Linked DNA regions of Alligator mississippiensis. The protein of the gene in region 4 purifies or fractionates together with the protein of the main gene of each other region. This does not show direct contact. Links are inferred from orthologs where the notes say so. Each region holds a gene or a part of one and is shown on either strand. Other genes may lie near its edges. The genes, in order: CCT5, EHMT1, GSE1 and HDAC1.

Region 1 (7,087 bases), on a different chromosome or scaffold from region 4:
AAACATACTGGAACATACAGTACTGCAATGCAAGTTCATTTATCACGTTGCTCATTTTCTACTCCTGCATGGAAAATAGTTTTTCAGTACCTTATGCTATCTTGCAAGTGCTTCCTAAACTTGACACACGTAACCAGAGCTGACATTAGGGGTGTGCAGAGCCCGGGGCACATCGGCCTGTGGGGGGCAGTGAGCAGCCAGAGCACAAAACTAATGGCTGCAGAGTAACAGCACCCCTTGTACATGCCAATGGTGTTGTCTGCAGGGCCTGTACGCCACTGTCTGCGCACCCCCCTCCCCGGGGACAGCTCTGCATGTAACAAACTATATCCTAGCAAAAAAGCAAATGAAAAGGTTCTTAGTTCACTCTCAAAATGCCTGAAGTACCAAACTCTATTTGCCAGGTTTTTCCAATGTAAACTTACACTTTAGAGCCCAGAGTTGTCTTTGCAGTCTGGATTAAAGGTTCAGTGTTCTGTGGATCAACTGGAAAGCTGTCACTGATTTTGTCTAAATGTTCAATGGCAATGCGAGCTGCCTGCTCATACCCATCTGCAATTCTCATAGGGTGAATACCACGATCTAACATCTGTTCAGCCTGCTCCAACAGAGTACCAGCCAGAACTATAAAACAAAATTCAGACGAGTTACTGTCACTGAACATTTTAAATGATTTCGACTTACAAGACCCTATGAGCACATAAAGATTTGGGTTAATAGACCTGCTGCTGCAATGTTACAGTTTAAATGACACAGAAGTTTAGAATACATCCGATGGTCATGTTCCTTGGGAAGATAACCTATTTATTTCTTTTGCTTAAAAAAAATGAGTTTGAATTTTAAAAATTGTAAAACACAAGAAAAAGTAAAACATAGAAAGGATGTATAACACTGGCTCGAAGTTTAGACTCCTGTATCAGGAAGGGCTCATTTTTTAAGAGGAGCTGCAACAAGGTCCAACATACTGAACAATTCAAAATTCCAAGCACGTTAGAGTTATTTATGCAGCCCCAGCCTCCTAAAGAAAAAGTTAAGTTTGACTGCATTCACTACATTTTAAACCAATTAGAAGTATTTTCTTACCAACAACTCCTGTTGTTCCATCCCCAATCTCATCATCCTGCGATTTAGACAGTTCTACCATAAGTTTGGCTATTTGATGATCCACGTCCATCATACTCAGAATAGTGGCACCGTCATTTGTCACAGTCACCTCACCATCCTTGTCTACCATCATTTTATCAAGGCCTGAAAAAAATATTTGCAACTTACTGCATTTTGAATATCCAAAAAACCCTCTAAAAGAGAACTACTTCAATCTTCTTCTCATACATACCATTGGGTCCAAGTGATGTTCTCAGAGTATTTGCCACAGCCTTTGCTGCCATGATATGAGACTATGAAACAAAAGTCCAAATATAAATTAAAAAACAAGTTAATTGCCTCAAAGTCACAATACTTTCCTAATGACACTACCCAAGTAAATTATATAAAAACAACCATAATGAGACCTTGATTCTACTGCCTTACAGGAGAAACTATCATAGGAACATAAGGGCATTTATACACGGTGAGGGAGTGAGTGGGGGGAGGCTGCTTTAAAAAGAGTAGCTCCAAGAGCCACTCTAATTAAAGTACCCAGAGTGTCTTGTGGATCAGTGTCCTTGTGCTGAAAAATGGCAGCGGTGGTGCTTTAATTAAAGCTTAAACAGCACTCCTGCTGCCATTTTTCAGTGGGGGAAAGTTGATACACTCTGGAGTCTGCTGAAGCCTGGTAATTACCATGCTCAAGCAGGCTCAATTTATCAAGTCTGCTCAACATGCTGAGCAGACTCCCTGTGCATGTACAGGTGCCCTAAGTAGCTTTCAATACAAGACATGCAGCACAGTTAAGCACAGGAAGGAGATCAGGCAGGGAGCAGAAATCAAAGCAGTAGAGCTGGCAGAAGAAGGGGTTTGTGGTACTTGGGGAGGGCACAGGATTAATCTATAAAATGCCTGATAAAAAGGTTGCTCCCCTTCCCCTGACCCACTTTGGACTCTCTGCCCAACTCTTGTCTTCTGCTTCCTACCCTACCTGCTGCTGTACTGCTTGTCCCCTCCCTCATCTGCTGCATGCCCCAGAGAGGCCATCTGTCTACCCCAGTCTAAGAGAATCAGTGTTTCATGACAGCATAATAAAAAGAAAGCTGCTAACACGGATATTCCTCTACTGCCCAGGAGGCAGCATGGTACCCATAGACCAGAAAGTCACAATCAAGGTGCTACAGCACCCGGGGGGGAGGAAGGGTCTCGAGATCTGCTATGGGATGCTAGGCAGCACTAGCCATTAGATATGCAAACACGCAACATCAGAGAAACCCAGAGATTTCAAGCAGGAGTCCAGTGTTGAAACCACTCTGCGGGCCCACACTTTTTGGAACAAAAGCTCGGCTCTGGCATTCTTCGGTGGGCAAGAAAACAGGAGTGCAACCTAGGTGCTGGCATTTGCCTGGGGGCTCCGATAATAACCAGGCACGTGGATGCAAACCCCCAGGGCCTACATGAGAGAGCCCAGGTACAGACAGGCTCCTGCCCAGCACCGCTGGCGGCATCTCAGAGAGCAGCAGCAGCTCCAAGCACGTGGGCACCGCCACCAGCTAGCCACGCTCTTAAATGGAGCCGGCGCGCTCGGGTCCAGCGCATGCGCAGACCTCCACGAATCCCCCCCCCGCAGCAGAGTGGAAGCAGCCCCTGGGACCCCGGCTCGGGCCCTGCGCATGCGCGGAAGCGGAGGGGGGAAGCAGGCCGCGGCCGCCGGGCCCGAAGGCCCCCCCGGGCGGGGCGCGGGGCACTTGCCTTGAGGGCGTCCAGCCCCATGAGGCGGCTCTTGCGGTCCTGATCCTTGAGGATGAGGAAAGGCCGCCCGTACTCGTCAAAAGCGAGAGTCCCCATGGCCGACATAATGTCGCTGCCGCCGCCCTACACCAAGCAGAACCCAAGCACACACCGCCCCTAGCCCCACCCCCTCCGCGGGATGTCACTCCGCGCCTGCGCAACCGCCTCGCCCAGGCAGGGTTTGTGGCCCGTGACTAATGTGGCGCCCCCGCCGAACCCTTCTGGAAGCGTCGGAACGGGGGAGGCGTGGCTGTTGCCCAGGCCCCGCCCTTCCCGGGGGAAATACCACTAACGGAATCGCCCGTCGCAGCCACTGCGCGGGCTCTGCAGCCCACGGGGAGGGAGACGGGGTCGGAGCCTTGTGTGAGTAGGGAGGGGACAGAGGTGCGAGTACTGCACTCCCAATAAAATCTACCCAAACCATTTCCTTCCCCCCCGCGCCGGATGGTATCGCCCGTGCCGCAGTGCCCGGATGTGGCGGGGCCTGCAGCCTCGCGAGACCTGCGCGGGAGGTGAGTGGTGGCAGGGGAGGGTTTCGTAGGTAGCAACTTGAGCCATGGGTAAACTCGGGGAAACCCATATTTGGAGCCAGCGTTAGCACTGAAGCGGGCTGTGCCCGAGGTAGGAGCGACTATCTCACGTCGAGAGAAGGCACGCGCGCGGTTGTGGACCGCGCATGCGCAGTACAGACGCTCAAGTTCCGTGGCCCTCCTACCGGGCCGCTTTCTTCAAGCATGCGCAAGCGCGGCACTTCAGCTAAGCGGCTCAGTGTTTTCCCGCCTCAAGGACCCTCTCCAGGGCGGGCAGTTGCCCTTTATTGGCTCGCGGACGTTCTGGCCCCGCCCCCTGCCCTGGTCCTTGTGGTGCCCGCTGTGTGGGGGGGCTGCTATGAGCTTTGCCAGGAGTTGCTTCAAGTGCCCTGATCTGCCCTTTCTGTCTTTTCCCTTTCTCGCAGCTCTCAGAGCCCCCCTTGCTTTCCTGAGGCAGGGCAGCTCTGCACACTCCCGCCCCGTGCTTGTGGCTGCCATAACTAGCAGCTTGGGGACGAGGCTCAGCCCCCCCCCACAATAGAACAAAGTCACAGGGGATCAGTCATGGAGCAATCTCTGGGCCCTGCTGCCAAGCACAGACTGCTGCCTGTCCCCAGGTGACAAGCATGTAGGTGGCCTGCTTACAAAACTAGTTACAGCAAAGTCTCCTGGCACTGAGCCCCACTGCCAAATTGGTCCGAACTAGAAGCAGGCAAGAAATCAGCCCACTGTGCCTTTTATCACACACGTTCCAAAATGATCTCTTTATCTTGCTAGATGCTCAGTTATACCTGTATATTCTTGCATACAACACATCCCCAAATACAGCACCTTGTTTTTTTGAAAGGCAAAGTGGGAGGGGGGGGAGCTTTTTCCAGAGTTAGGGTTTCTGAGAAGAGAGAGCTGAATCTTTAGCTATATCATCCTCCCTTTCTGGTTTAGCTAAAGCCCAAGCTGTTGCTGAAGACTGGTTGCCATGGGTGTCTTTCCATGTGCTCCAGGGTGGAGAAGGGGGGCACTTTAATTAGAGCAGCTCTGAGAGCCGCTGTATTTAAAGAACCCACAGCATCACTTGTATTCAGTGTCCCGTGCTTCAAAATGGTGGCGGGGGCACTTTAACTTAAAGCTCATTTGATGAGTTTTAGTTAAAGTGCCCCCACCACCATTTTGAAGTGCAGGACACTGAATACATATGACGCGGAGGCTGCTATAGTACGTTAATTAGCACGTGCCAGCAGACTTTATTAATCCAGCAAACATCCAGCAAGTTTATAGGTAGCTTTCCAATTTTGAAAACAGCTAAAGAAGCTGTGAAATAAGAGACCAAGACAAATGAACACACAGCAAAATTGCCCAAAGAAAGGTTAGTTTGATTAGGAGAACATCAACACCATTAAAAAGGAGAGAGGATTGTTAACATCTCTGGAGTGAAGAACAATGAGCCATTAAGTCAGTTGACTCCTTCAGTAGCCTGAATATAGATTTCCCTCACTTTATGCTGTATATGCGTTCCTGGAAAGCAGTGCATAACTCGAATTCGCATAAAGGGAACCCACTTTACAATGTAACAAATAGGGATATGTTCCAAGACCTTGACTGTACTGACCCCCAGATCCATTTCTATCACTTTCGCAAAACAATTTTTGTACTCACCAACAGCAGACAGTACACACAAGCACTGAGCACTATCATAATGGGGATGGGAACTACAGAAACACGTGTTGCAGATAACGAGCAAGGAGAACAGCCACACAGGAGCCTATATTTTGGTGCTTGTCACTCCCACAGTGCTATGCACAAAGCAGCTGACTGCGGGTTTCCACCACACAGATCGCATAAGAGTGAATTTACCTTGCATATAACGAATTGTTGGTATAAAAAGGGTCATCGCGTAAGAGCGAATTCGCACGTACAGAACCCACAAAAAATGAGGGAAACCTGTAGTAATACTCAAGTTGCTACACTGTGGAGCAGAATCACAGTAGGGTGCTTGTATCTCCAGCCAGAAACATAGCTTTTTTGCTTAAAACGTACCCCAATGGGGGGTCTGATTTTTTGGGTAAAAGGTGTATGTCGTGTTTGAGAAAGTATGGTAATTTCAGTAAATTAGTGTTTATAGTACCAACTGGCCCTTTTAATATGTGAAAGCAAAGTGCAAGAGATCAAAAATCAAATGTCTGCATATTTTTGGTTTTTGAAATAACATATGTACTTTATTGTTGCAAACCTAACATTTGTTAAACTACCTTTTACCATAAAATGCATACAGCATACTGATCATATAAATTTGTATACTGTCCAGTAAAATTGTAGTGGCATTTAAAATATCATTTTGGGTAAAGAAAGGTACAAATTAATAGCAATTGATAGAGGATCGTTCATGGTGCATTGTTGTTATGAAATCTGCATGATCAACCCAACAGTGTCTCATTTCTCATCTGCTTATAGCCACATCCGTAAAACTTAACTGTGGACCAAAAAGGTGAGTATGTATTGGAGAGAGTATTTTTTTTTTAATCATGTGTTTGCTATTGTAAGTCTCTCTTACATGATTACAAAACACCATTTCAGTATGAATGATGATTTGGGGCAGGGATGGCTAATCTGCAGCCTGGGGGCTGTAAGTGGCACGGACAACTTCCGTGTGTGTCATGTGGCAGATTGAGGAAGGAACAGGCAGCACAGTGACAGATAGGCCAGGGAGCAGCATGGAGCATAGGGAAGAGCAGAAAGCTGAGCAGCACATTGGGTAAGGGAAAGGGATCGGAGTGGCACTGGGGGTGTGTGCTGGGCTAATTTGTGCCATTTCTGCCAAAACGTTTAGCTCCCATTGATTTGAGGACTCTTGCCATAGCTTTCAGTGGTTACAAGGTTACAAACTCTTTGGGTTTGTCTTTGATACAGGCTGCCTGTAGGCACCCAGCAGCCACCACAGGGAAGCCACTAGAGCATGTCTCTGCTTGCGCAGTTTCTGGCAGGGGCACTCTGGGAGGCATCAGCTGGTAAAGGTGCCTCAGCAGTTGGCAGAAAGTGCGGGCACATCTATGTATGCTTTTGGGCAAAAACCTTTTGTAATTTACAGAAGTGGTGCTGCTCTGCCAGCAGAAATAAGGGACCTTGCTGCTGCAGGGGTACTGAGTGTGGCAATGCTAATGGTTTGGATGACAACACTATGTAAAGTTGGCTAGGCTGTATATATATCTTTGCCAAGCTGCTGGCTCCACTTTGGATTTGTGGGCTTGTTGTTACTAACTTTTTCTCTTCTATTCTTTACTGTTTTCAGTGTTGGCCTGACACTCTAGAGGTTGGTAGCACAGACTGAGTAGTAAGTAGGCCTTAAATGGAGGTGGTCTGGTATTCACGTGCAAATGCTGGGTAAGAAGCTGGGTTTCATTGAGCAGAGCTGTCGTTCTTCCCGGCCTCCACCAGGGAAAACCTTATCTTAGCAATAAAGTTACCCAACAGGCTTGTCAACTCTCCCCCCTCCCACCACCACCACATTTGCCCTGCAATGAGGACTAATCAGATTGTCACCTGACAGAAAGACTGGAAGTATAAAAAGGCAGGAGCTAAGATGCAGCCATGTTCATCAGCTCATAGTGTGGGGGTACTGCTCACTCCAGGAGGGCTGGCAAGAAATATTCCTCAGCTTCTGCAGTTCTTGAGACACAGGAGAGTGC
Region 2 (7,081 bases), on a different chromosome or scaffold from region 4:
ACAAGAAATCAAGTTCAAATAAAAAGCATGGAGGGGAGGAGGAGGTGGGGGGGAGCTGAATTCATACCAGAATGACGGAAACAGGACATAAAGGGAAGATCACGTTACAGCTTCCAGGTTCTTCTCTATTAAGGGAAGTTGATTTCAAAACCCTAAAAACTTTCAGTAATAAAAAAAAAAGCTCTGAAAAAGGTAGCAAGGGTGACATGTGAGATTTGTCTCTAAATTGCTGATGGTAGATTGCACAGGAAGAACACAAGCTTCAAGCCTACTGCAGCAGTTAGCATATGATTTTCAGTACTTCAAGTATTTAGCCCTTAAGTGAAAGGCAAGGTTATTCTGTCATTCCAGTTTGACAGAAGTCTCCAAATTGATTGTCTGACCCTTCCAAGTATCAGGAGCAGAAACAGGAGGAAAGAAATGTATAGGGAGGGGGGGTGCGGAAAGCAGGAACAATAAAAAAAAAAAAGGTACCATCTGCCTCCTACCCCACAAACCTGCTGGTCATGAGGGCAGAGGGTCTCTAAATGTCCTTATTCGTCTGAATGAAAAATTTCCCTTCCATTGTACAAAAAGAATGTGATCCTTTGTCATTAGGAGATGGTACCACACAAGAAAGGTCACACTGGCATTGGGATTCTTGCAGCATACCAGTGTTACTAGGTAGGTTTCAAATCCTGGGAGAAGAGGAAATAAATGAGCACTGCAATACAACCAGCCCGAATGCTCGTGTTCCATATGATATCCAGACGCAGAACCAGCCTGATCCTGCAAGATGAGGACTGCCCTTGGCTCAATGAAGAGTTAAGGGCACTGACCACCCTCGGGTGACAATGTCAGCAGACAAGTCTTGATTATGGAGGGCATGATTCTGAAAGATGCTGAGCATTCAACTGAAGATAAAGGCAACAAGAGCTGCAGGTACTGAGCACCTCTGCAAATCAGTTGCCTGAATGCCCTAAAAAAATTTTTAAAAAATAAATAAATTCAGCTGAATCCTCCAGCACATCCCGAATTCCACATCTAACCAAACAGCATTACATTTTTGTGCGTTTTCCACAGAACAGTACAGAAATGCAAACAGATCAGACTAGAAAAATTCGACCTACCCATTGGTTTGGGGACAATCAAAAAAATATTGAGAGTAATTTACCCCTCTTCCCCAGTCCTCCTAGTATAACGGTGACAGGGACAGTCAAATAGATTGCATCTGGGCTAGTAAATTTCCATGTCTTTTGAAGGGCTACTGTAGGCCATATGCATTATGACTACACAAAAGAAGCATAATGGTTAGTTTCAAATAACAGGGACAAATGAAGACCTGAACACACAAGGTTATGGCTATTAACCCCTATGCTGCTGAAGACAGACCCAGAATTTTAAAGCTATATATAAAGATGGACGGTAGCATCTTTTGAAGGCATTTACCAGGGGTCAGTCTGTATGCCTGGACTGCTCAAAATGCTTAGGAATAGTCTATCGTGCTGATAGCGCTACAGTCATGATATCATACGGACACATGTCTGCCCCAGTGGTAATCTCTGTTGCCTCAGCATCTTTATTACAAGCCCATTTGCAACTCAAACCTCAAGGTTTCTGGAAAGGAACTTACAGCTTAAGATTTCAGACAAGGAATTTGCTTTTTCTCAATAGTTTTTAAAAGAAACCCTGTTTGTTTCTTCACCGTCATTTTTGATATACATGCTTTCAACCTGCACTCGCAAGACAACATTCATGATAGCATTTGCAGTCCAGCAGGCAGACATTTTTCTCATCGTTCCCCTTACTTTCTGATGGCATTTTTGCTTCTTCCCCGTAGATAAAAAATTAATATCTATTAAAGTAACAGTAAAAGCTTTCTCTAAAACCAACAACTGTGAGACTCCAGCCTAAATTTTTCAGGCCAGCAGGGGGTGGTAGCATCACCCACAGTTCTGGCAGCTCTGCAATAATCAAGGGACAACAGTGAAGGTCAAGACTGAAGTACACACCCTAGCTCAGAAGGTCTTTATTTCTGTCGATCACAGACAGGACCAGGAGGCTGTTAACATAGAATGTAAACAGGAAAGCAACATGGCAGAGTGAGATGTGACAGTTTTAAGCAACATTTTAAATAGCCTGCCAGCAGGCAGCTTTTGCCATGAAATAAAAGAAAATCCCAATGGTTCACTCAGTCCCTCGTCTGGATGACAGGCTAATGAAGAAAGGATTCTCCTCTCCGAATAAATGGCTACCTTTGCCCTCCTGCCATCCCAAAAACTGAACTGTAGGCTTGCTTGGCATCAGCCAAGGCTGTCAAACTGTTTCTAGCAAGCAGGTGAAATGCTTCTGCAGGCCCTCTCTTGTCTTTGAAAGCTTGGTCTTCCCAGAGTTTAAAGACCCCCCCTTCTCCAATATGAAATGGAAAAGAGGGGCAGGGGGAGCCCTAGGTAGAACCAAACACTTGAAAGAGACTCCATGCTAAACAGGAACACCCCTCCAAACAAAAAGACAAGGTAGACACTCACTGGATTTGTAGAATCGGAGTGCCAGCTTCCTTAGACAGACACATATCATTTAAGACTCAGAACTGTGTACAAGTTTACTGAACAAAACAGTCATCACAGCAGCCAGAAAGTCTGCAAAGCATGCGCCTGCCCTGGCCACTCTCTAAATCTCCTCCTTTGAAAGAAAGCCCACACCCCATCCTGCACGCTGCTGTCTCACTAGGCAATACACACATTTCTGCTGTGCTGTTCTTTCTTGCATAGGACAACAAAATAAATACAAAATCCAGCCATGATTATCTTAACTGTCTTCCTCCTCTCAAAGGTTTCTCCTTTTCTACCTGACAATAGTCTGTCTGCGGACACAACCTGAGGGAATCTGCTATTTATGACATATGGAGCATGGACACTACAAGTTACTGTACCTGCAGACATCTGTTGTCTTCTTTTGATGAAGACTCAAAGAGTTGCATATTCCAGATCCTCATGAACAGTGATTCAGTTTCTGCTCATGTGATAAAAGCTCCCTCTACAGAGTGAGCATGCCCAGTGGAGACCATTTCACTGTTCACTCCAAGCTGCAGCCATTTCACAGAGAACCTGCAGACTTAAGGGCTTCCATTGGAGCAACTGTTATCTAAGGCATCAGAGGGATACAGCGTCTGTCCTGGTACAATACACAGTTAATAAAGATAATCTGTCAACATTCTGACACAATGCCAAGCCTAAGACTGATCATAGCCTGAAAACCCCCCTTAAAAACCATGCAACAATGTGTTCTGTTACAGTGGCCTTCAAGAGTAGCCCTTCCTTGCCTATGAAAAAGAGATGCTGCCTATTAGCATTTACATTTGAGGGCGCATGTGCTAATTATATTCTGCTTAATAAAACTGTGCGCCTTTTGAATGCTGGGATAAATGCACGTGGGTCAATCAGCAAATGTACAGTGTCCAACTGAAAGTGAATTTGAGATTTGATCCGCTGAGTTGAAGGGCCGTCAATTTTTCACTTCAGAGATTTATAATACAATGTGAGCTTACGTTACCAACCTTAAAAACGTATCAGAAACATAATCATCAAAAAGAAAAAAAAGCGAATGAACTGATAGAAGTACTGCACCTAATACTTTCCTGAGCTGAGCCTATGTCGAACCATAAGATACAACTGGCCCAGCTAGCAGGATAAAAGAAGAAATTTTAGCTTCAAAATCACAAGTAGTTTGTCTCTGTTCCGTTTCACAATTAAGCACAAAGTCTTGGCAACCCTCATATCTGCTATAGCTCCCAGTAAAACTGCCTGAGCAACTCGCAGGAACATCTGTAAGCAGAGATCAGCTGGACTGGATTCAAATGCAAAAAGTGACATATTTATCACAATGCCAACGTACGTGGGTTTCTTTATGTTTAATATTTTCTGGAGCACCTCCCACAAGAAAGGGGGAAGGGAGGATGGAAGAGAAGAGAGAAAGAAGGGAAATTCTTAAATGGAGTCAAGTACCTCCTGCTTGTTCTTCAACATGGAAAAATGCAATTCTCCCACAAAGCAGGACTGAGGAAGAAGTTTCCCTTTAAGGCTCAACATTAAAATAGCCACTAGTTCAACATATTGCATCACAATGAACTGAGATGAAGAGGGAAAGCCTGGCCTGCACAAAGGGAGAAAACACATGAAAATTCACAGTGAGAAGCTGAAAAGCCCAATTTTACATCTTTTAGACAATGCACGAGAATCAAGTACACTAAATTCTAGTTTTCACAGTGAAGCGAATCCTACAAGATTGCCCTTCTTCCCTTTATTTAGCAATGCAAGAGACTGTCATGATCTTCTATTATCACACACTGGAAACAAGCAATATCAATTTTCTCCACCCCATGCATTTACTTCACCATCTTGCACATAGACATTTGCAAAGTGGTAATGGTTAAAACAGCAACAGCAATCTTCCATAGCACTGCATCTACTAAAATGATGCTCTTTTCCTCTCTCCAAGCACTTCAGACACGTTTCACTACCAAATGGTTAAAGCATGCCAGGCAAAATTGAGAGGATAAAATTGATCAAGGAAACTTAAGGTGACAGAAGGAAGTGAGGATATCACCTTTACTCCTGGGTTGTTTTTCTAAAATAGCTTTAAGTTACAAGGCATATCAATGGGATTTTTTTTCTGGCCTTTATTTCAATCACTGGAAATGTAACGGTAACCTCTTTAATATAAAAAAGGAAAAACGCAAAAGACAACCACCCAAAAAACAACAAAACCTGACAAGACAGACAAAGGTATATTATCCACTGCAACAAAAGGAATACTGTAGTTCTAACCAAAGACAGCCCTAAAATAGGTCTGTCTACTGTTATCCCTCTTTGCAGCATGAATTTATAAACCTAACATCAAAAAATATGGAAGGGGATACAACGAATTTCATAACAACTGCAAACGCAAAAGAGGTAATATAGTCAAAACATTTTTAGAGCTAAAATTTCTCTCAAACCATGTTACAGTATTCATTCTTTCAGTAGGCTCACAAAGACAGCACTTCTTACTGCAGCTCAACGCTAGAAATGTTTTCACTGCTAAAGTTAAAAATACATGGAAAACAGAAGTTAATGCAGATGCCAATTTGTTTTTCAAGTCTCCCCTCCATTTTGAAAGCATCTTTTCCCAAGCCTTACAGACGGACACATTTTCAAACAGCATATTGGGGACACTTCAACAATTCACTGAAAACTCAAGCAAAACAATCAATTAGCATCTTACCAGGCACATTTCACAGTGTCACAGTGACACTGTACAAAAGGACCAACATGATTTGTGCATTAGTTATTGAGGTTATGGTCAAGTTCTTTACATTTATGAAGTCCAAAGAGAAAAAATGAGCTCCTAAGCAGCCCTTAAAATCTCACACATCATTAGCTGCACCACACTGCCATTCAAAGGCCAGTCTCCTAAAGCGACACTGGTATGTGCATCATGTCTGCTTCAGGAGCAAAAAAATAAAAAAAATAAATCTCTTCTTTTGGAACTAAAACCGTTTCATGGAAAGCTGCAAATCGCATGGAGATAATCAGTTACGATACCTAGGAGTGAAGTTGAACAACAAACTTGTTCGCAGCTCTTGAGTTTAACTGTGTCGTGACAGACCCAAATGCTGTCATGTTACTGTTTAATGCCCAGGACGAAGCTGTAGTCGTGTTTTAAGGTGCTTACTGTTTGATGGAAGCTACAGTGCTTCTTGCTCTGTTTCCTACTTGGTCCACATGAACAACAGTCCTGCTTTGGCCACATGACCTAGCTCCCTCTACAGGTCCGTGTGCCACAGTAAGCATGCTCAGAGAGGAGACCATTTCCTTTCAGCCGTCTTAGTGTTGTGGAAACTGCAGCCATTTCATGGAAGTCAGGGAGAGCACAGATACAACCTCTTTTTAAACAGATCCTGCAAGACATTAAAAGGAGCCATCTTTTGTACCCCACACGCAAATATCCCCACAGACACACATGTGCACGCACGCACAGGCACGGATGGAAAGAGAAAACTGACATTCCAGGGAAGAAGATGGTTACACAAGTTAACTATTCGGTGACTTCAGAAAAGTAGAATCACGTTGCATTGATCTCTCCTCCCCACCTTTGCCAGGAAAGGCTGTCATGAAGATGACCGAGGTGGACTTCCTAAGGATTTGTTGCTAGTGGAATGAACCAGCACATAAACAACACCAAAAACCCAGCCATTTGTATTCAATTAAGATTTGTTTCCTTTCCCCCTTCTCTCAAATTAACCCAAGCAAGGTCATCATCAAACTGTATCTTGTGTGGGTTGCCTTGCTAGGGACACTGTATCACTTTGCTTTTTAAAAATGTGTTCTGCCCAGGACCTTAAAACTAGCAGATATTTTTAAACTCGTGGCTCTCTGGCCTGTTCTGAGATTCGAGGCTTGAATATCCTTTTAGGATCTCACATTTTAAAGAGAGAAAAAGACAGCAGAACGACAACCTTTGTTCAACAAAGCACACATGGTTCCTAAGGGCTTTTGCTTAATTACACCATTACATGTGTCATTTTCACAGCTTCTTTTAAAGAAGAAATAAAAGTGGGAGGGAAGGGAAAATGTTTCTACTGTCAGAAGATGACCAATATTTGGTCCAGCAAAATACAGGAGTTTTTTTGATTTTGCCTTGCCTCCCTTGCTGTTTTCATACCCTACCCAGCACCGAAGCTGCTTTTTCTCTTTTCGGCTATCTTAAAAACATAGTGAACAGGAGAGTTTAAGGGGTAGAGAAACCGTCTATAAAAATAAATTAGGATTCCAAAAGGAGCTTTCATATTTTTCCCCTGTTGTTAAAAATTACTCATCAGCTTCACAACAAGTTATTAAAATGCCTCCTTCCTCCCTCAATGAATCTTTAGGGGGGTACGTTCCTGCGAGGTGCTGAATCCCCCTCAATTCCCAATGCTGGAGACACCAAATGCCCATTGAACACCTTGCAGGGCGAGAAGCCCCAGTCTGAAATGTACTGAGCAGGCTCCTGGACTCATGTTCTACCTCACAATCTGAAACCTGGGTCTGTTCAAAGATTTTAAGCCAAAACTACAACAAAG
Region 3 (6,826 bases), on a different chromosome or scaffold from region 4:
AAACGAAAGCTGGATAGAAACCAGCCATGGAGCTGTTCCGTGTTATCAAGCCCTTACTTTGTAGCAGGTCGGCTCTTTTTGAGGCCGGGGATCATCCATTTTTAGGATGGCATCATGACATTGCACATGCGGTCGGTCAGTATGTATTGCAGTGAACTGCGCAATATAGGCAACGTAGCAAGGGGCCTCTGGGACAGGACTCCACCTTTGCCCACCAGCTGCAGAGTCGTTCCATATTTTCAAGCCTTCACTTTGGGAGCAGATCAGATCTTTTTTTGGAGAGATTGGCCTTTTCTGGTGGGATCGTGATGTTGCACATGTCAACATTTATTGCATGATGCACCACTCCTTTGCGCAAAGTAGGTAATGTGTAGCCGGGTCACAGGGCTCCACCTCTGCCTGCCAGCCATAGAGTTATTTTCAAGCTCTCACTTTGTAATGGGTCGGATCTTCTTGGGAGCTGGGATCATCCTTTTTCAGGTGGGATCCCAGTGTTGCGTGTGTCTACATTTACGGCGCGATGCACCAGTCGATTGCATAATATAGGTAACGTGTAGCAGGCACCCCACTTTTTCAAGCCCTGACTTTGCAGTGAGTCCACTCCTTTTTTAGAGCTGGGATCCTCAATTTTCTGGTGGGATCATGACATTCACATGGAAGCTGAATAGAAACCAGCTATGAAGTCGTTAGACGTTTTCAAGCATAACTTTATAGCCGGTTGGCTCCTTTTATAGCTGGAGAGTCATCTTTATCACACAATCATTACTTTCCACAGGTGGCTGGTCTAAATTTATGGTGCGATGCATCAGTTCATTGTGCAATATAGGTAACATGTAGCAGGGGCCCCACCTTTTCAAGTCTTTTTTTTTTTGAGCTGGTACCATCCTTTTTCTAGGGGGATCCCAAAGTTGCACATATTGACATTTATGGCACAATGCACCCGTCATATGTCTCAATATAGGTAACGTGTTACAGGGGCTGTCTACATGTGGACATTTATGGTGCGATGCACTCTTCATATGGCACAATATAGGTAACATGTGGCAGGGGCCCTCCCCTGGTAGCGAGTGAGCTCTATTTTTCGGAGTGGGGGCTATCCTTTTTCCGGGGGGATCACAATGTTGCACATGTCAACATTTATGGTGCAATGTGCCTGTCCTAATATGCAATAAAGGTAACACATGGCAGGGGCCATGCTGGGGTGGACATTTATGGCATGATGCATCTTTCCTAGCATGCAATACAGGTAATGTGTGGCAGGGGCACATGTTTATGGTGTGACACACCCATCTTAGTGTGCAATACAGGTAACACATAGCAGGGGCCATGCAGGGGTGGACATTTATGGCACAACACACCCATCCTAGTAAGTAATACAGATAATGCATGGCAGGGACTGTGCAGGTGTGGACGTTTATGGTGTGACACACCCTTCCTAGTGCACCATAAAGGCAGCGCATGGCAGAGGCCATGCAAGAGTGGATATTTATGGCACAACACCCCTGTTTTAGTGTGCAATATAGGTAACACATGACAGGAGCTGTGCAGTGGTGGACATTTATAGTGTGACACCCCGGTTCATTGCACAATACAGGTAATGCATGGCAGGGGCCGTGCAGGGGCAGACATTTATGGCGCGAAGCACCTGTCCTAGTGCGCCATAATGGTAATGCGTGGCAGGGGCTGTGCATGTGTGGACATTTATGGTGTGATACACACGTCTTAATGAGTGATACAGTTAACGTGTGGCAGGGGCCATGCAGGGGCGGACATTTACGGCACAACACAAGCGTCCCAGCGTGCCATAAAGGTAATGCATGCCAGGGGCCATGCAGCTGTGGACATTTATAGCCCATCCTAGTGTGTCATAAAGGTAACGTGTGGCAGGCGCTGTACAGCTGTGGTCATTCATGGTACGATGTGCCTGCTTTAGTGCACAATACAGGTTACATGTGACAGGGGCTAAGCAGGGGCAGACACTTATGGTGTGACGCACCCATCCTAGTGTACCATAAAGGTAATGCACGTGGGTGTGGGCATTTATGGCGTGTTGTAGCACATCATAAAGGTACTGCATGGCAGGGGCAAACATTTACAGTGTGATGCACCCGTCCCAGTGTGCCATAAAGGTACCGCATGTGGGCGTGGGCATTGATGGCTTGTTGTAATGCATCAGAAAGGTACTGCACGGCAGGGGCCATGCAGGGGCAGACATTTATGGCATGACACACCAGTCCCAGTGCGCCATAAAGGTAATGCATGTGGGCTTGGGTATTGATGGTGTATCCCAGTGCATCATAAAGGTGCAACGTGGCAGGAGCCATGTGGGGGCGGACATTTACAGTGCGACACCTTCTGTCCCAGTGCGCCATAAATGTAACATATTCAGGAATGGGGCATTTATGGCTTGTTGTAGTGCATCAGAAAGGCACTGCACAGCAGGGGCCATGCAGGGATGGACATTCATGTTGTGACACCTGCCCCCACCCCATCTCAGTGCGCCATAAAGGTAATGCATGTGGGGTGTGGGCATTTATGGTGTGTCCTAGTGCATCATAAAGGCACTGCACGGCAGGGGTGGCCATTCACGGCACAACATCCCTGTCCCTGTGCACCATAAACATAATGCATGGGGTGTGTGGACTTTATGGCATGTCCAAGCGCAAAGTAAAGGCACTGCCTGGCAGGGGTGGCCATTCATGGTGCGACACCCCCATCCCAGTGTGCCATAAAAGTAACACACAGGAGGTGTGGGCATTTATGGCATGTCCTAGCGTAGTATAACAGCACTGCCTGGCAGGGATGGCCACCCCCCGTCCCAGTGTGCCATAAAAATAACACACGTGGGGGCATGGACATTTGATGGCGTGTCCTAGCATATCATAAAGGCACCGTGCAGCAGCAGTGACCACCCCCATCCCAGTGCGCCATAAAGGTAATGCATGTGGGGGCATGGACATGTGATGGTGTGTGCTAGCATATCATAAAGGCACTGTGCCATAAAGGTAACACATGTGGAGACACGGACATAGTGTCCTAGCACATCCTAAAGGCACTGTGCCATAAAGGTAATGCACACGGGGGCATGGACATAGTGTCCTAGCACATCCTAAAGGCCCTGCGCCACAAAGGTAATGTGCGGTGACACGGACATAGTGTCCTAGCACATCCTAAAGGCACCGTGCCATAAAGGTAACGTGGCGACACGGACATTGTGTCCTAGCACATCCTAAAGGCACTGCGCCACAAAGGTAACACACGGTGACATGGACATAGTGTCCTAGAACATCCCAAAGGCACCGTGCTATAAAGGTAACGTGTGCAGGGGCATGGACATTGTGTCCTAGCACATCCTAAAGGCACTGTGCCATAAAGGTAACACGTGGAGACACGGACGTTGTGTCCGGGCACATCCTAAAGACACTGTGCCATAAAGGTAACGTGCACAGGGGCACAGACAGCGTGTCCTAGAACACCCTAAAGGCACTGTGCCATAAAAGTAACGCGGGTAGGGGCACGGACATTGTGTCCTAGCACATCCTAAAGGCACCGTGAGGCAGGGGCGGCCCTTCACCCCGTCCCAGCGCGCCATAAAGGTAACGCGTGCAGGCGCGGACACCGACGGCGCGTCCCAGCGCACCCGCGAGGCGCCCCGGGCCGGGGCTGGGCATTGCCGCTGCTGCCCGCTCCGTCAAGCGCGCCATAAAGGTATCGCGGGGCAGGCGGCTCCGCCCGCAGCCCGGCGCGGCGCGGCGCGGCGCGGCGGGGAGGAGGAGCCGGGGCCGGGGCCGGGGCCGGGGCGGGGACGGGGATGGCGCTGCGGAGCCGGCGGCCAAACTTCTTGCGGGGACAAAGTTAGCGCCGGGCAGCGGCCCCCCCGGCGCGATGAGCGAGGCGCCGGTGTCCCGCAAGCAGCGGCTCATGGCCGCGCTGGAGCGGCCGGCGGAGGACGGGGAGGCGGCGGCGGCGGCGGCGGCGGAGGAGGAGGACGGCGGTGCCGGGCTGCGCTGCTTCGTGTGCGGCGGGGCCATGGGGCGCGGCCAGGCGCTGAAGCTGCAGGTGAAGCCTCCCCGCGAGCGGGAGCGGGAGCGGGAGCGGGAGCGGGGCCGGGAGCGGGAGCGCGGCCCCTTCTTCCCGTTCCTGCAGCACCAGGAGCCGGCGCCCGGGGCGCGCGGGGTGTCTGCGGAGGGCTGCGCGCTGGTGTGCGCCGTGTGCCGCTGCTTCCTGGGCGAGCAGTGGGACGCGTTCGAGCGCAGCCGCACGCCCCTGGACAAGCGCATGTACTGGCTCAAGCGCCCGCACCAGGGCGAGCCCAGCAGCACCGGGCAGCGCCGCGCCGCGCCCGCCTGGAGCCTGCCCGCTGGGCGCAGCCGGGCCAGCAGCACCAGCAGCAGCCAGCCGCTGGAGGAGGAGGACGAGGACGACGACGAGGAGGTGGTGGAGGAGGAGGAGGAGGAAGGCAGCGACTCCGAGCTGTCCTCCCTGTCTGAGCCGCGGGCGCCGGAGATGAGCGCCGGGCGCCTGGCGTGGGAAGAGGACGGGCCCCCCGTGCCCGCTTGCTACATCTGCGGGGTCCCGCTGCCTCCCGGAGCGCAGCGCCCCGTGCACGTGCAGAAGCAGGAGCAGGCGGCCCAAGCGCCCTTCTTCCCCTTCCTGTGGCTGCACAGCCCGCCGGCCGGTGCCCGGCCCATTAACGCGGCGGGCAGCACGCTGGTGTGCCCCGGGTGCTTCGCGTCGCTCATGCAGCAGTGGCAGGGCTTCGAACTGGCCGGCGTGCCCGTGCTGCAGCGGCTCTACGTGGTGCCACTGGGCGCCGGCGTGCACCGGGCACCCGGGGGCGAGGCCGGGCCACCGGAAGCCTGCTACCTGTGCGGCGAGGGCTGCGGCAAGGAGGCCAGGCCGGTCTCAGCTAAGATCGCCAACGGGAATGCCAAGAGTGCCATGCACTTCCCCTTCCTCAGCCTGCTGCCCTGCCCGCCCGGCGCCAAGGGGCTGAGCAAGCACTGGGAGGTGAGCAGCTGCCGCAAGTGCTACGGGGTGCTGCAGGACCTGTGGGCCATGTACCGGGCTTGCCGCGACGAGGAGCTCATCACCTCCGTGCAGAGCTTCCTGGGCAGGTACCACCAAGTTTTCTCTGGCACCGACGCAGCCGGGCACCCAGTGGCCAAGCCCAGCCTGGCCTCCTTCTGCTACATCTGCGGGGCCGAGCTGGGCACTGGCAAGGAGTTCCAGCTCAACGTGAACCCCCCCGGGCGCTTTGGGGAGAAGGAGCCTTTCTTCCCCTTCCTCACGGTCTACCCCCCAGCCCCACGGGCCAGGCCAGCCGATGCCACGGGGCTGGTGTCCACCTGCGTCCTCTGCTACCACGACCTGCTGGGCCAGTGGGCGCAGCACGAGGGCCGCAACACCCACCACCCCAGCAGCGCCTGGTCCCGGCAGTACAAAGTGGAGACCTTCGTCTGCTTCTTCTGTCGCCAGGAGAAGAAGCGATGCCTCGGATTAAGGGCCGTGTGCGTGGCCCGGCTCCCCGTGTTCCTCTACACGCTCCGGGTACCCAACAGCTTGCTGGTGGACGACGGGAAGCAGCTGATTATTGGAGCATGCCCGGACTGCAGGGCGGTGGTCCTGGCTGGCAAGAGCATGATGCCCCCGGACCTGCTGGCTGCACCACCTCCGATGACCCTCCCCAAGGTAAGGGCCTCCTGCCTCGATTTCCCTGAAGTTGGGGTGGGTGGGACGGTCGGGCACTTGGTTTCAGCGGTGGGTGCTTTTTTGGTTCATCTGATCCAGGAGGTAAACGCCTCTGGGGTGCTTTGTTGCCAGCCGGTCTTGGGGGGGACCTTGCTTCCTCGTGGGGTCACCGCCGTAGTTGCGAGGGGCTGTGCTAAGAAATGCAGCCAGCATTCGTGCCAGCTGCTTTGGTGCAAGTCTGCCCGTGTGCCGGATCTGTTCTCAGGCCAGAACCGCAGCCGTTGCCAGGTCAGGCAGAGCAGCGAGTGTCTCCCTCCCTTTGTCCCAGCCCGGAGAGCCTTCAAGGGGCAGGCCTGCCCCCGGTAGCCGAGGGCCTGGGGAAGCTGGCCCTCTCCTAGGAGCAGCATTATCGAGCGATGTGGGTGTTCGCAAGAAGCTGCAGCAAAGTTTCCCATCCAAGGAACGCGAGTCCTGGCAGCAGGCAGACCGCTTGCTGCTGCCCGGATCGGCTTTCTGGGGCAGGGGGAGGTGTTCCTCGCGCCATCTGCTTTTCCCTGTGGGAACGAGCCTGTCTTTGCAAGTCAGATGTGCAGGGGCCACGAAAACCGCCTGGGATTCTCCTTCCTACGGGGCGCCAGCCTGCATGCTGCGATGAAGAGCGATGCCTCATCTGATTCTCATCAGCAGCGGGGAGGGGGGCAGCAGGTCTTCAGTGGGCCCGCGCGGGTGGGAAAATAATCGCCGTGTAGTCCGTGCTCCCGCCGTTAGATCCAGGTCTTCCTGTTAGAGCTGCCGGCTCCCAGACCAGCTGCAGGATCCCCTTCCAGCAGGGAAAGGTTACTGTGGAAATTGCCAGCTTGTTTGCCCGGACCTTATTTTTCCATCAGCTGGAACGAGATCCCTTTTGAGTCCGTGCCGCTCATCGCAGGCTAATTATAAAGTAGCTCGTCTGGAGAGATGGGTATGGAGCGGAGCGGGCCTGGGAGCGAGGAAATCTGTTCCTGGCTCTCTCTGCTTGGCTTCGCTCGCCTGGTTTCGCTCGCCTGTGAAATGAGGATAGATACCTCCTTGCAACTGTTTTGCAGGCGTGGGGTCTTGCCTACACGGGAGTGTTGATCTGAATTAGCCCAAGTGG
Region 4 (7,682 bases):
GCACAGGAAGTTGCAGAGCCGACCTGAGCCGGGCAGCTGGGGCCTGCAGAGGCAAACTGCATCATCCCAAGACCCCAAGCCCCATGCACTGCTGCCTGTGACCTGGGAGAGCATCACCTGCCTGGTTCTCATAGGAACAGGCTGGTGTCACTTCTGCCCCCAGAGCAGAGAGCGAGGCCATAATGGGCAGGGGGCTGCGCTCAAGGCACCCCTTGTTAGACTTAAGGCACCTTTTGCTCTTAGTTTTCACTTGATTTTTGACTGCAGGACAAAACCCCAAACAGAGCAATTCTTTTGTTGCAAAGAATTCAGGAAGACCACAACAGGTCAGAGTGCCTTTTCCACTGGAGATTCCTCTTTGAAATCTCTGGGTTTATCTTGTGAATCCTGTTTGCACACCTAGCATGGTATGGCACTCTGCAGCACCCCTGAATGGATCTCAAGGCACCCCAGGGTGCTGCAGCACCCTGTTTGAGAATCGCTGTGCTAGGTACAGAGGTAACCCAGGCCTAAGAGGGCATCCCTGAAGGAGTGAGGGAAAGACAGCTTCCCCTAGCATGGGGCAGGAGGGACTTTGAGGTGGGGCACGTGACAGTGGGACTGCTGCTTTTTGCAGAAAGGGACATAGAAATTAGTGAAAGGAATAGCTAGGGCTGGGGCTAGGAGAAACGGAGGCCCCCTCAGACCTGTGAAAGCAGCAGCTAGAGACATTTCTAATACATTCTCTGGAGCAGAGGGGATGCTGTGCTTGGCATTAGTTGCAGGAAGCCTGCCCAGTAATCCACATCAGTCTGAGACTAGAGCCCTATCTGGTGGCTATCTCAGGAATAGGCATCATTAAGAGCCCAGTGATGGCAAGACATGCCAGGGCTGTGGGTGCACCACGCCAAGGGAGTTTCAGTGAGGGCAGGGCGCAAAGGGATATGCAGGTGACGTTCAAGCCCGCACATCAGCTTTGTGGGTTTAGGGCAACAGCAGTGACCTTCTTCCTTCTCCTATCCCCCGTCCCTCTTTCTCCTTGTGTATTTTCAGGAGCCAAATTCCCCATTAAGTGGACGGCACCCGAAGCTATTAATTATGGTACATTCACCATCAAATCTGACGTCTGGTCCTTTGGGATCCTCCTCACAGAGATCATCACCTATGGCCGGATCCCCTATCCAGGTTAGGATTTTTCACAGCAGTGCAGCCTGTGCCTGCAGTCAGATCAAAAAGACATTGGAGCTGACAGGGGCTGGGTGTACCTCCATGCCCCCACACTGACCAGCAGAAGGTGCTCTACGACACGGGGGTGGTTGCAAGGGCCGAGAGTTACCCTGGTTTCAGACTCGGCAGAAGGCACTGCAGGGTGGCTGGCTGCAGGAGCCGGCCGATGCTCCTCTACTCCCAGCAGAGGTCAGCACCGGTATATGGAAGTGGCTCCCTTCCCTGGCTGTTTCTGACTGTTATGTGTGTTGTATGTGCAGGGATGACGAACCCAGAAGTGATACAGAATTTGGAGCGGGGCTACCGAATGCCTCAGCCAGATAACTGCCCAGAGGAGCTGTACGAACTGATGAAGAAATGCTGGAAGGAGAGGCCAGAGGACCGCCCCACCTTTGAATACATGAAGAGTGTGCTCGAGGACTTCTTTACTGCCACCGAGGGCCAGTACCAGCAGCAGCCATGACAGGATGGGGCTGGAGGCATCCTCGTGTCAGGATGGGCGGAGGGGAACAGCCCCTATGCATTAGCTCCTCAGAAACTTTATGCAGATCGGGCCTTGGCATTTGGATCACAGCAAACGCTGGCAGGACCTCAGCAATCCCTCCGTCCATAGCAAAGACGCGTGTTCCTGGAGCACGCTCAGCCAGCAGACCTTGCCTCAGAGCAGACCGGAGGCACTGAACTGACAAGTGTTTTGACCCAAGATGCTGCTAGGTCTCTTTCTGAACTCCCTGTGCAAGTATGCACGTGCTACTTTACCCATCTCAGTGCCATGTGCACACTGGCCTTATGTTCACTCACAATGCATCTGTCCAGATAACCACACAGATACACGGCCACGCAGGTGGTCACTGCCTAGACCATATTCGTTCCTGCGGGCCTCGACACACCCATGCTATACAGAGAGTGTACTCCTAGCAAGAGGCACTGTCAAGTCTTATAAACTTCTCTTCAGCAACTATAATCACAAATTTGATCTGAAAATAACATAGGGAACCAGCTCACTTACAGTCTCAGATAATGCTCAGAATACAACAACAATTGCACTGGATCAGCTGGACCCCATCTCAGCACTGATTTTCCACAAAGAGATGCTCAAAGGGCTACAAAGTGGAACTCCCCATGTCCCTTCCACCCCCAAGTTCCCCCTGCAATATTTCTTTGGTGGTTTTTTATTCCTTTCTGTAGTGGAGATGGATGGTACATCAATGCTAAGGTGTTTTGCATGGATGTGCCAGCTGTGTGACTGGAAGCTGTCCAAGGCTGGGGCTGTGATCAAGGCATGCAAATAGCTGCACTCACCACAGGTACTGTAGAAGGACACAGGGCCCATTGTGCAATGCAACAGGGGCAAAACCTCTTCACATGAGAGCTCAGATCCCTGGAAGATGGTGTATAGGACACCACTGTCCATGTCTGTTGGTCCCAGGGTCACCAAAGCAGTCATTCTCTGCATTGCTGACATCTTTCTTCACTCTGAAACCACACTGCTGGACTCTGACTAGCGCCGTTCACACCAACAACCTTTTAGAGAGTTTGGTAAAGTAGTTATCAGATTCAACCATGTTATGAAAGGGAGAAAGGAGTTTACAGTCAGGAAGAAAAAATGCTGATTGCAGCTCAGAAGATCAGGCTAGATACAGACTTTCAAAAAACCTGAAGCGGGAGCGACCTAAGTTGCGTGGTTTTCAGTAAGCGGCGTAGGTTAGGTCAGTAGCGAACAGAACACGTTCCCTTTTTGATGTGGGGGGAGGGCAAATCTTAGACTGGGGCCCGCCAGTTTTAAACCAGTCTATGTGTGTCGAACTTCTGTTATGGGTATAGGCTGGTTTCTAATCACTTCGACTGGTAAAAGTGCAATGTCTGTATATGGTCTCACCCAGTGAGAAGCAGAGATGCACAGGACTCTGCTCCAACCAGCAAGACTGCTTTGGTTACCCCAAAGCCCAGACACTGGCATTTTATAATATACTTACAGATGGATTTGAACAACACCGTTAGATCCAGAACTGGACCCTCTCAGAATTGGCACCAGACCAGTGGGGGTGGGAGTGTGAGGCTCTAGGTAGGCCCATCAAGGAAGGGTTTCAGCATAGTCTCACTAAAGGCTTGCTCACCAGAAACCCACCCAGAATTTTGCTTTAGGAATGAGCCATCTTCACTGTAAGATTTTTCTTTCTCCATTTCATTGTAAAGCCCTGTCCTGTATTGCTGTTTTACTTTCATTAAACAACAAAGTAATCATGTGGCTCCATCCGATCCGTGGCAAGGAAGATCAACACATCCTAATCACACGCTGGGGGTGCACAGAGCTGAGGGTGGGGTCCTGTCATGCCGAGTAAAAGGTGGTGGACCAGCTGGCCCTGCCTTCTGCTGCTCGGGCATCATGCAACAGCAAACCTACTTGGGGTCTGAGTCTCCAGGATCCTGAGTCTCTTGTGTAAGTGTAGGGCAGGGGTTGTCTCAGCACATCAGAATCGGACCCTAAGCACAGCAACCCTTCATGTTTCACAAGAGACGTGACACCTGGCGGGATGGCTGAGGGGAACCGGCAGGATTAGGATTTGCAGACGGGCAATGCTGGCATCCCAGGGAGCTGGTGCGACTCATGGGGCAGGCAGGGAGTTTGCAAGGCTGGCCCTGCAGCCAGGGAGCCATTGATGCTAAGTGGAAGTGAGGGTGCTTGGGCAGGTGGGATCCAAGGGAGTATTCAGCCCGTGGCAGGGGCTGAGGGGTGCAGCCAGCACCTGAAGGGTGGCGTGGGACGTGGGGCAGCACTGGGCACACCAGGAAGTGAGATACCACAAAATGGCTGACTTGTTTGGCACCAGTTCAACACATTGCTCCCAAGCACACAGCTGGAGCCAGGGGCCCCCCCCAGTGCTTTCCCACAATGCACTGCTGTACTCACCCCCTGGTAACCAGAGACCCCTAGGCACAGGGCTGTCTGGCCAGGCCAGATGTGCAGCAATGCTTTCCCACAATGCACTGTGGCACCCACCCCCTGGTAACCAGAGACCCCTAGGCACAGGGCTGTCTGGCCAGGCCAGATGTGCAGCAGTGCATTGTGGGAAAGCAGTAACAAGGGATGCCTGTGCAGGCAAAGAGCACGCCATGGAGGCAGGGGTCAACTGGTTCAGTCCTGTCTGCTTTGACTGCCTCTACCATGGGCATGGTACACTCCTATCTGACCCCCCTTCGCCATTCTTGTAGAATGGTACATCCCGATGTACCCAGACCCTCTCCTAAGAGAACCGTCCACCCCCCTTCTCCGGGATTGGTACAGTCCTGCCAGCCCGTTCCTTCCACGGCGTTTGCTCTCTGAATGGTACAGTCCAGGAAACCTCGCTGCCTACCTACCATGCTGCCCCCTGGCTCCTCCTTCCCTACCTTCTGATTGGTCGTCTCGAGAGCACAGGGCTAAAGCCCCTCCCCGATAGGTCGGCTGTCCCGCGGGGGCGGGGGGAGGTGGGTTGTGGGGTGCCTTGGCCCCTGGGGCAGGTTCGGTTGAGTCGCGAAGGGTCTGTCGCTGTCGGGAGGCAGGAAAATGGCGCTGACGCAGGGGACCAAGCGGAAAGTCTGTTATTACTATGATGGTGAGCGAGCGGGGTGCACGGGGCGGGGGGCAGCAGGAGGAGGGGCTGCAGGGGGCTGCCCTGGGGGGCACGGAGGGTGCTCCCTGGATGGTGGGGGGGAGGGGCGCCCCTTGGCTGCTGGGGGGGAGGGGCACCGAGGAGGGGCCCCTGGCTGGGGGGGAGGGGCGCTGAGGGGAGGGGGGGCCTGGTTGGTGGGGGGAGGGGCGCTGAGGGGAGGGGGGGCCTGGTTGGTGGGGGGAGGGGCGCTGAGGTGGCCCCTAGGGGGCGCCTGCCTGCATGGGGGAGCATCGAGGAGGGCTCTGGTGACACCTGGCTGAGGGGGGGACGACACTGAGCCGTGCCCTGTGGGGTGCCTGGCTAAGGGGGGCACTGAGGAACATCCTAGGGGGTGCCTGGCTGCAGGGGGGTGGTGTTGAGGGCACCTGGTAATGGGGGCAGGGGCACTGAGGAGGGCCCCAGCGGGGGCCTGGCTTGGGGGGGCCCTGAGGAGCTGTGTGGGCGAAGGGAGCCCTGAGGGGGTCCGAAGGAGCAGCCCCCATGGAGGCCTGCGGGTCTCTGAGGAAGGTGCCGCAGGAAGAGGAAGTGAAGCTCTTCACAACTCCTGGGTGTGCAAGGATGCATCGAGACAGCCTTTCCCTCCGCACCGGGGAGCTGCTGTGACACGGCTTGTGATTTAAGGCCTGGCAAAACTTGGCGGGACTGTAGATGTAGTGCGTGTGTGCAGGGATCCAGGCTTTGTGCTGCTCTGGGCATCCCGTGGGCCTTGCCCAGGTAATGGGCTGACCGAGGCAGTTGGCTCTTTCCCGCTGCGCTTGCAAAGGGAGGGATTGCAGTCGCTCTGCTGTGCACGTTCGCTACCGCACGGATGGCCGGGCTGTCTGCCAGCAGGGGGAGGTGTTTTGGGAGAGGTGCATCGATCTGCACAAAATGGATCACGTCGTCCTCCTATAGATGATAATGTTTTTAGTAGTGGAAGCTGGCTAAAAATAGCTGTTCTCGTTTGGTTTGCTTTGGGGCCAGAGGATGTTTTCAGTCATCATCCAGACTTGGTTGTCTAAATAAATTCATTCAGTATCTATTGGGGAATTTTCATCACTCTGGTGTAGTAACTTCCAGTACTAACTGCTGATGTTGTCAGGAGATCCATGCCTTTGACTTTTGCACAGCGTCCCATTGCCTGACGTCCCTCGGCACCCTAGTTATTAACCTACACCCTGCACCCCGTTGCTGTTTTCTCATGGTTTTTGTCCCATTGGCCTTGCTCTAGTCATTGAAGGGGGGCTGTTAGTTTCTGGTGGGCATAGGCCCACCATCAATATATAACAAATAGTTTTTACTTGAGGGGTGTTCTGCACAGGGTTCTCCCCATGCCCGTCTTGGTGCTGTGCATGGACCATAGGTCATTTGCAGTGATGCGATTCTGATTTCCTCACCCCGTCATTCTACTTTCCATCGCTCTGAGCAGCTCTGTCTGTGCACGTTTGATATTAAATCAGAATATTGGTGAGCTCCCAGTGCTGAAACTCGGATGAAAACTTCAGGGTCCCTGGAAATGCTGGTTTATGTTCCTTGCACTTGAGGAAACACTTCACCTACTTAAGTAATTCAGATATTGCATGAAAATGTCTGTGTCTGGAGATCCTTTTGTGTTTAGAAACATATAATTGGTCATCAGTGCATGAGCCTCTTTGATTATTAAGTGAGGAACTAGGAGGCCCTTCTGCAGTATGTGTGTTTCTTCCCTGCTCCCCAGCAAGATAACTAATGCGTGCTAGTTGTTTGCACACGAGGTAGCTAAGTGACAACTGTATTTGATGTTGCTAGTTTACCTCCTGGTAAAACTGGATAATTAACTATCAGTAGTTACCTTGTGGTAAAAACATTCCTTTTTATTGTCAGTTAACATGCAATTGAACATGCTTCAAGTCCATCTTATTTTAGGGCTCTTCCACACAGGGGAGCTAGTGTGGAATAATCTTGGGGTGAATTTAAATTGCAGTAGCCATTTTTTTTTTTTTTTTACTGCGTGCATGCATGCACTGGCCTTGCCCAAGTAGGCCACCTCATGTTCTGGCAGCAGATAACAGTGGCAACCATGAAAGCCTGTGCACACAGATGTGCTTCTGTGGCTCTTTGCAGCTCCACTCTGCAGCCCTGCCACCAGAGAGAGTGCAAGCACACCCTGGCAAGGCAAAAACTACGCAGCTGGCAGAAGGTGCTGGATTGTCTACATAGGCCTTCAGCTTGCTGCCAGGTGGAAGCAGAAGTCTTATTCCTTGGCAGAGGTGGAGTAAGTGCAAGCAAAAGGGAGAAATTGTGCCATCACAAGGGAGACTTGGTGTGAAAGTGCTTACATTTTTGCTTGCAGAACTTTGTAATGTAAACTAGACCTCTTATTTAAGGCTGATAGTGAGGAATAGCTACTGTGCTTTAAAGTCACACCCTAGAATTTTCCATGTTTAGTTCCTCTTTAAACAAATCCTTGAAACGGCAGATATGTCCACTGCTGTAAAAGGGAAATCTGGTAACTTAATTTTGTTTAGCAAAGTAAAAACCTCAAGATACGATCCTCAATTCAAAGCATTTACAATCGGTCTTCTGTATTTAATTGAGAGCCCAGGGCATAACTGTAACAAGTGGCTGTTTTCTCCTGGGCTCCTGTTCGTTTAGCAGTTAGATTGGGGCTTCACAAATATTCCCTAGGGAGACTCTTTAGCTTTTTCTCTGGTTACCTTTAAGCCTTTTTTATATTTAAAATTAACCCTACCTTTAACATGGGTGCTGTTGCCTCCATACAAGATTCTGTTGTAAGCAATGAGAACTGCAGTTTCACTCCAAATCATGTTAATCTCCAGTGGAGATTGTGTCATTCTTTGTCTA

What was found.
Region 1: the proteins of HDAC1 (region 4) and CCT5 purify together in Homo sapiens (affinity purification with mass spectrometry; 3 studies listed by BioGRID and IntAct, counting the BioPlex papers as one, with this or other methods). This does not show direct contact. The link is inferred for Alligator mississippiensis from reciprocal best matches to the Homo sapiens genes HDAC1 and CCT5.
Region 2: the proteins of HDAC1 (region 4) and EHMT1 purify together in Homo sapiens (affinity purification with mass spectrometry; 4 studies listed by BioGRID and IntAct, counting the BioPlex papers as one, with this or other methods). This does not show direct contact. The link is inferred for Alligator mississippiensis from reciprocal best matches to the Homo sapiens genes HDAC1 and EHMT1.
Region 3: the proteins of HDAC1 (region 4) and GSE1 purify together in Homo sapiens (co-immunoprecipitation; 7 studies listed by BioGRID and IntAct, counting the BioPlex papers as one, with this or other methods). This does not show direct contact. The link is inferred for Alligator mississippiensis from reciprocal best matches to the Homo sapiens genes HDAC1 and GSE1.

The regions. Positions count from the first base shown.
Region 1 is NC_081826.1:139,954,791-139,961,877, reverse strand, and holds the start of CCT5 (T-complex protein 1 subunit epsilon), read right to left. Parts: upstream 3,008-7,087; 5' UTR 2,944-3,007; coding exon 2,839-2,943; intron 1,398-2,838; coding exon 1,337-1,397; intron 1,249-1,336; coding exon 1,084-1,248; intron 625-1,083; coding exon 426-624; intron 1-425. UniProt on the Homo sapiens protein: Component of the chaperonin-containing T-complex (TRiC), a molecular chaperone complex that assists the folding of actin, tubulin and other proteins upon ATP hydrolysis.
Region 2 is NC_081835.1:51,864,157-51,871,237, reverse strand, and holds the start of EHMT1 (histone-lysine N-methyltransferase EHMT1), read right to left. Parts: upstream 3,014-7,081; 5' UTR 2,975-3,013; coding exon 2,912-2,974; intron 1-2,911. UniProt on the Homo sapiens protein: Histone methyltransferase that specifically mono- and dimethylates 'Lys-9' of histone H3 (H3K9me1 and H3K9me2, respectively) in euchromatin.
Region 3 is NC_081833.1:73,915,043-73,921,868, reverse strand, and holds the start of GSE1 (genetic suppressor element 1), read left to right. Parts: upstream 1-3,809; 5' UTR 3,810-3,885; coding exon 3,886-5,691; intron 5,692-6,826.
Region 4 is NC_081829.1:5,643,499-5,651,180, forward strand, and holds the start of HDAC1 (histone deacetylase 1), read left to right. Parts: upstream 1-4,682; 5' UTR 4,683-4,753; coding exon 4,754-4,802; intron 4,803-7,682. Other genes in the region: tyrosine-protein kinase Lck, read left to right, coding at 1,033-1,164, 1,467-1,669. UniProt on the Homo sapiens protein: Histone deacetylase that catalyzes the deacetylation of lysine residues on the N-terminal part of the core histones (H2A, H2B, H3 and H4).